Linked DNA regions of Tribolium castaneum. Each later gene encodes a partner of the first gene's protein in a complex. Links are inferred from orthologs where the notes say so. Each region holds a gene or a part of one and is shown on either strand. Other genes may lie near its edges.

Region 1 (3,834 bases):
GAGACATCTACGTTCGCGGTCGCAAAATGCCATTTTGACGGAAGGTAGTGTTTTAACATTGAACACCCTGATTGTATTTCGATATTTCGAATGGAGAAAACTCAGGATTGGTTGTTTGTAGGACAAAAATAAAACAATTTTTATAGATGATGGTATGAGCTGCAACTTTTGTCTGACCATTTTCATGATAAGGCTTACTGTTTCCGAGAATAATAAAAGAAAAACGATAATTTTGACCTTTCACATAGAATTTTTTTTTGGCTTCGACAACTGTAGTTTACGTCTTTACATATTTTTAACATTCACGGTAGTTTTTTACAGGCATTTGTGCATTTTTGCGCACACCATTTGGTAAAATAACACGAAAGTTTTAGGCTTTCAGAGACCGCGAAATATACTTTATGATAAATAATTCCTTTGTAATTTGCCGCTTTTTTAATGCTTTAATAGGCATCTTAAAGCACGCAACGTCATCAAGTGCAATGTCATAATAGTCATTATTTGCCGAACATTTTACGAAAATTTTCAGATTGGCAAGAAGCAAATTCGAGACTGTATTTTTGCAAATTTTACAAATTTTAGGGGGAGTTCATCCAAGATTACTTTCATTATTATCTATATTCTTGTTTTTGACAGAATTTGGATAAAACAAAATTTTGAAATCAATTTTTCATTTTCAAAATTGAAACATTATCAACTGTTAAAAAAATCTCTAAATCGACTAAAATAACAATTTTTGTTTAAAAACGTTAAAAAGGGGGCAAATTACAAAAAATTATATTAAAAACTCGTTTCATAACGAATATCATTAAAATAGCATGGGATTACAAAAAATGATTTTTTGACATTGGAGAACATGTAAGCAGTGTAATAAAAATGACATTTAACATATACATGTAAATATGTATTTATGCACTATTGTGATCAAACAAATTTGTATTATAGTTGACCGTATTTTTTATTGTGATCGTAAGAAATTGGAAGTTGTACCATAAAATTGAATAAAATAAGGAAAACCTGGTAAGAAAACGTTGTATTAGTGTTTGTTTTTTTATTTTTTGTTGTTAATTTTTCTGATGAACCAACATATAAATTATCGAACACACCAACTCTTTTTTATAGAACAGTTTGTTACTTTAATTTTTGTGCATGAAACGAAGCCATGTGAATACAAAGCATAGAATCTATCGTTTTATTCTTAAATTGTCTGCTTGTAGAAAAAACTAATTGATAAATCATCGAATTACTGGAATTCTTTTCGAAATTAAAACATTCTTCAATTTTTAGTGGTAAAGAAACGAAAATACAGAATAGTACTTTTGAATAAGACGGAAAGCAATAAATAAAGTTGTGTGGTTACAGAGCAAAGTACCAATTTTGAAAGTAATGCTGAAGAAGTGTACAGAGTGAGCTTAAAGTAATGCATAAAATTCATAATTCTTTTATTTTTCTAAAACAGAAAATACAAAAACATTTTATCTGCGGTCAGTTTTGACTGAATAAGTTACAGTGGTCAATATGACGTCGCCATGACGTCATCATATAATTTTTAAGGGTAATATTAAAGCGTAATTGATCCGGTTTTGATCAGTAAAAAAATAATAAATGGGTCGTACAATATTTTTGAAACGAACATTAACTATTTTTCTTGTTTTCTTTATGTTGTGCTTATGTTTACGCTTATGGGCTTGTCAAAGTGTGGTGTTTACTAGTTGCTACGCCCAATGCGTCGGTAACTAAATTTGGCATCAGTAGGTAATTTTGTCGACGCCTTGGACGTAAAGGTGGTTCCATGTCTGGTGGCGAACTGACAGTGACATAAAAGTCTCTTGAAATGCACTCACTTGGTTAAGATAATGAAATACATGGGCGTGCATTTTTTTCGCTAAAATTTACTTAGTTGTTATTTTAATAAATTTTGAGGACGATGATACATACAAAAATTACTATTATTGTTAATAATTTGTTCATTATTCTTCATTTTACGCCTCTCACTATAATTTTTTAAAGACTATCAGTGGATTTGAAAATCATTTTATTACGACGCCTATGGACAATTTTTTTTCAATAGTAAACATGTGTTTATTGTCAAAATTCAGTCATTTTTGACAATGTCAGTTCGCCACCAGATTTGGAATAAGCTCTAGCAACCGGTAGTCATAAGCTGCTGTATTGACAATTATTGTGACAATATTTAATAAATTTAAAAAAAGTAAGAAAAAAATTGTTTTCGATCGGTAAAATCTCCTTACCGTTCTTGTACTTTATATACGATTACAACTGTGTTACTTATTTTAAATGTGGATAACTTTCTTCAGTTTGGAGCTCAGTTTTAATAAATTACAGGAAATTTTTGGCCAATCTTTCTAATAGCTGTTTGCATTAAACATCGTTGTTTTCAATATTAACTTTGTATCAAATATTTGCCATATTGATCACTTAAGACAAGTATTAATTTATGACAACGTTACTCCCTTGGACTTATGGACATGTCACTGATAGTGATGGCTTGTTTTTATTTCTTGTCCCTGTAATTGAATCCGTCCCACGATCACAAGTATTAATAAATAAGCACTGGATTATGACTTTAGTCTTAAAACAGTGTTATATATGTTCTCAGATATTTGTACAGTTTGCAGTGAATTTGCATCATTTAGCAAAAATAGGAATACGAATACGAATCATTGCGAAATGTAATGGTGGTTGCATAGAGAATTTGGTTAGGCTTTCGTGAATCGCCCCTGTATATAATTTAATTTTTGACTCACTGCAACATTTACTGAGTCTATTGGTTACTAAAAAAATAATGTGTACTTAAATTACTTTAATTTATTATAATACAAAATTTAGATATGAAAGGAAGTTTTGGCTCATGATTTCTCGTTTACCTCAGTGGACTAACTCCATTACAGGTAAATGTATTGCAGTTGTAAAAAAAAACGGTTTAAAGACGTCGCCTAATTTAATCGTTCATCCGAAACTGAATTTCGTGGTCTAATGTGTGGGTAAGTACCTATACAAACGAGTCACATTAAGACTTTTTATTTAAAAATGCAACGGAAATCTGTTTGCTCAATATTTTTTGTCTTGGTTGGTGGTCTAAAAACCGTCACGATTTATAACTTATCAATCGTGTCGAGTCTGCAAAAGTCTATCGTATAACCAAAACACCATGTTCATTATCGCACATTCAGCGTCAATTGTTTCCACAATCTAAATCGCCCTTAAATGTTTTCAGCGCCAACAGAAGGCTGCTGTTGGGATTTAGTCGATTCGAGCACCGAGAAACTTCTAGAAGTGCCTTTGCACGCGTTAGAGTCTGTTCCTGCCGGCATCGTCGGTCAGGAGAATCCCACCGAACACGTCGAAGTGATTCCGATGCAAGAAGAACTCGAAGTGAGACTAGAACAAGGAAATTTCCCTGTTCCAAACGATTGGCCTTACGATGTGAAAATGGATTCGGAAATGGTGGCAGCGGCTTTGGGAACCACTGACAATGATAACGCCACCAACGCCACCACCACCTCCAATAACAAACCGAACCAAAACTATCAGGAATTCACCGGAAATCAAGTCAAACTCGAGCTGGAAGTGACTCTAACACCGGAAATTATTAGTAACGATAGTCTCATAACAAGTACAGTCAGTTCGAGCAATGGAACGAATTCGACTGTCACGCCCTCTGTTAGTAAGACAGTAACGACTGTGATTCCGCCAACTACCATCGTTTGTTTGCCTTCGGTTGTCAGTACTTCGTCTCTGGTGAATCCCCCAGTTAATGAAACGCAATGTCCTACTTTACCGAGGCCTGGAATGGTACAAAGTTCGAGTGCT
Region 2 (3,834 bases), on another chromosome or scaffold:
ATATTCCTTTTAGAAGGTTGGTTGTACTAGCGCACAGTCGGATTCTGGCAAAACATTGTGTGTTATTTCGCATCGACAGTCGCAAATTCACTTTTTGCACGGTCGCTCGCAATGAAATTTTATGACGTCGTTAATTAGAGAAAATTTTATTGGACGATCCAGTGTCGGAACAAAAACTGAAATGAAGAACTCGACACTGAAATATATAGGCGTCCGTGTATTGTAAAGTAGGCGGATTCGAATCACATTCCTGTATCTATCATCATGGTGGACTATAAATCTGTTTGTGTCTAAACGCACCTGTTGTCTCGTATTGTATCCTGAACATTAACACTTTGCTAACTGACAAACAGTGAAAAAGTCTGTGGGATTGTTTTCCACTTTTTTCCACATCGAACATCTGGTCGGAATGTCTGCCAGATTAAAGCCGAAAAAATTTTACTCGAATTATTTTACAAAGTTGACTCAACTCTCGTAAATAGCGTTTGTGTACAACATTCGCGAGATAAAACTTCCTAAACGTGTTTATTTAATTTACGAACAGCTTTGGGAAGTTCTGATCGAGTTGCCAACTTGCGCGAGGTTTAATTCGAACAGAAAAATCTGACATTGCCACAAAGAACTTGATGAAGAAATTATTTGAATTGGAACGCTCTCGACTAGGTGCACGCAGAGGTGATTCCCCTGTAAACGTGTAATAATAGATTAGCTTTCTGCGGATAAGAAACGATGATATATTATTGTAAATTGCATCGTTTAAGCCGTCTCGAAGGTCATAGACTAAGCAATAATAGCTGCGTTTCGCCGGTAAAATAACCAATTACACGAGTGTCCGAAAAAGATTCTTGTAAAACAAAGAGAAGGTGAAAACGATGCAGTTGCATGCGAAACAATGCAAAAAGAATGTTAAATGGTCATCGGTTGAGTGGAAGCGAATGCGAGCAAAAACGAAACAAGGGAATGGTTAATATCGACGAAGATAATTATTCTTTAGACGTTAATTGGTACTTGGAACACAAGAGCTTTTTTATTGAAGTACAGTTACAATATTGAATGGATTCGGTTTCGTTTTGTCTTATTGAACAAAAACATTCGACCCAACGACCGCAAATGGTATAACTAGTACGTTGTCGTCAATAAGTGGCTCATAAAGTACTTTCGGATTCCTAATGTTCCGATTTACATACAACGTATACCTTTTGCGTTTAGGCTCGGATTCAATTATAATAAGTCAGGCTTAAGCAGATAAGATGTTAAAGACGGAATTAAGGGCGAGTTTGTAATTTCTGTCCTTGCGATCCGATTTGAATGTTTGATTGTGTTGCGAGTGAATTTTTGAAAAAATCCGGGACCTAGATTATCTTCTCTGGAATAATGGTCGACCGCCTAACAAAACCAGGACGCAGAGTAATGAAGTCTGATACAGATTATCTGTGTAATCGGGGCCCCCAGCGCGACGCTAATGAATTAATTTCGTGCGCTGCGAGGAAACAAGGCACCGCTTTGTCATCCCATTTTAATCTTGTTTAATTGTCTTTTAATCTAGCGTCGGAGTTAGGCGACAATCCCATTAATGATTCGCATCATTACTATTCATTTCGCACATGAGATCGGTCGTGGCGACTAATCGCTCGTTAAAAATTACCAACTGGAACTATCATCAATTCGATTTCGAGAAAAATCCCCTTTACGATTTTTTAATTGAAAAACCCACACTTGTCAGCTGTGATTGATTGCGCAGATTTGTTAAACCAACCTTGAATTTTTTCAAACGAGTTTTGTGACACAAAAGCCCAAAAGAATCTCAAATACGTGACCATTTAAAGAAACATTAAATCTGTTTATGACGTCCGACGATTAGGATACAAGGGTGTCATAAAATACAAACATACTACCGGAAAAAAGTTTACTACTTGATAGAGTGAAGAAATATTTACATAAACACCTGTCAGTAACCTCAGCAAGATAACCTTCAAGGATACAGATTTTTAGTTTCTGTGATAATTAGTGCGCATTTGTTTACCTTAAAAATATTCTTTTCGAAATATTTACACGGCTAGAATTATCTGGTTGTGTACAAATTTAATTTTATATAATTTTTAAACACGTCATTGTTTGCCTTAAGACGAGAATAGAAACGTCAATAAATGCGCACTTTGTGTTCGAGATATGTAACCGCAGAATTTTTCGCAACGGTGGGTTTAGTCAGAAACCTTGGAAACATTAATTGACCGCAAATCATCTTGAATGTCGAAAGATTAATAAAAATTTGCGGTTGACGCGCCAACAACTAGAAACTATTTTTGTCAGTTGCCACATATACAGCGTGATCCAGCTACATTTTCGGCTGAAAAGATTTAAAAAATTGAGAAAACATTTTTTATTTTATTTTTGGGTTTGCCACAGTGGCGTATTAGAACAGAACTATTGATTGAGCAATCTTGGCTGGGCGTACCTGTACAAAAACGCGTAAAAATGCGGTTCTAGCTCGTTCGTTTTAAAACCGCAGAGTTTAGCTTTAGCGATCATAAACCCGTTTAATGTTAACATAACCAGATAGATAACACTCCTTTTAATTTTTTGTTTGTCTAGGCGTCAAAGCAAACGGCTAATTACCAGTATGAGTAGCAATAAAACAAAATCGTTTCGTTTTGTATATTGAGCAAACACGACCCGGGAGTATGTTTGAATAAGGAGCTGCACAATGTGTCCATGCATATTCATAAACTACTCAGCTGCAATCTGTGAGACTCTTCAAGTCCTGTTTTCACGACTGGATGATCCGTCTAGCGCAGCTTATTAATTTGCATGTGACTATATTAAAGCTGGCTCGGAATCGATTTCATTGTGTGGATAATTGAAACGATTAAATTTTTGCGATTTGCATAAGATTTACCGGAAAAATTGTTGGAGTCTGTGTTGAAATCTCGTCTGAACATCTGCTCCGAATTGAATAGCCCTTCATTTCTCTGGAGCGCTCTTGGCAACTTGTACCTTTTATTCTATTGTTTCGTTTGTGTGACGCTCGAACAAGTATTTCACTTAACTTGTGTTACAATAAAAACACTTTCAAATAGGCGGTAGAAAAAATAACGTATGACGCTCGGGACCGCTTCCAGTTTGTATGGTCGTAATTAAGCGAAATGAGGAGCGGAGATATTATCTAGTGTTACTGAATTGTGAATAGTAAGGCTGTAAATCATGTAAGTTAGTGTGTGGTTGTTCTCTAGTCTCGAGTTTCGATCTTTATCGTATCAAACGACCGTACATTGGAACTATTTGGTTCATTAACCGAGATGTAAAGGTGTTGTCTTTGATTCCGTACTTTGTTAAATGGGAAACCATAAACGTGTTCATTGCTTTCCATTAACTCGACATTAAAACACTGTCAAAGCTATTTTAACTCCTCACAATTATTTCTAGAAATAAATCCAACTGCTTTTTTGTTTCAGCCCAAGTAACACAGCTTTAAGTTCTCCGGAACAAGTCAAAGAGTATCTCCTCACGTCGGGCACTTGCAAGTGTGGATTAGAATGTCATTTCAAATATGACAACACCTTTAATTTCGATCCTAAGGTAAGTGAAACGAAGCAACAAGTTTGCCGAAAAGTCGATGCAATTTTGACAAGAGCCTCGACACTGTCGAGAAAATGCGAAGCGGTAAAGATAAGGGTGTTTGGAGCAAACATCATTTCAACGTCTAGATACAAAAGGTAATCGTTTTTAGCGAAACGGGGCGAACAACCTTACTAGGAGATGCACAAAGAGACGGGTAAGAGGTGGATGGTCGACGCTGGTATCGATCGCGAGTTGGACCGCGCGTCTAAACGCGTC

Evidence for each region.
Region 2: Asx (region 1) and sba share a complex: the UniProt entries of both Drosophila melanogaster proteins name them as parts of the polycomb repressive deubiquitinase (PR-DUB) complex. The link is inferred for Tribolium castaneum from reciprocal best matches to the Drosophila melanogaster genes Asx and sba.

Annotation. Positions count from the first base shown.
Region 1 is NC_087398.1:15,858,788-15,862,621, forward strand, and holds part of Asx (polycomb protein Asx), read left to right. Parts: intron 1-3,238; coding exon 3,239-3,834. UniProt on the Drosophila melanogaster protein: Non-catalytic component of the polycomb repressive deubiquitinase (PR-DUB) complex, a complex that specifically mediates deubiquitination of histone H2A monoubiquitinated at 'Lys-119' (H2AK118ub1).
Region 2 is NC_087397.1:5,887,572-5,891,405, forward strand, and holds part of sba (methyl-CpG-binding domain protein 5), read left to right. Parts: intron 1-3,452; coding exon 3,453-3,576; intron 3,577-3,834. UniProt on the Drosophila melanogaster protein: Non-catalytic component of the polycomb repressive deubiquitinase (PR-DUB) complex, a complex that specifically mediates deubiquitination of histone H2A monoubiquitinated at 'Lys-119' (H2AK118ub1). Important for maintaining stability of the PR-DUB complex.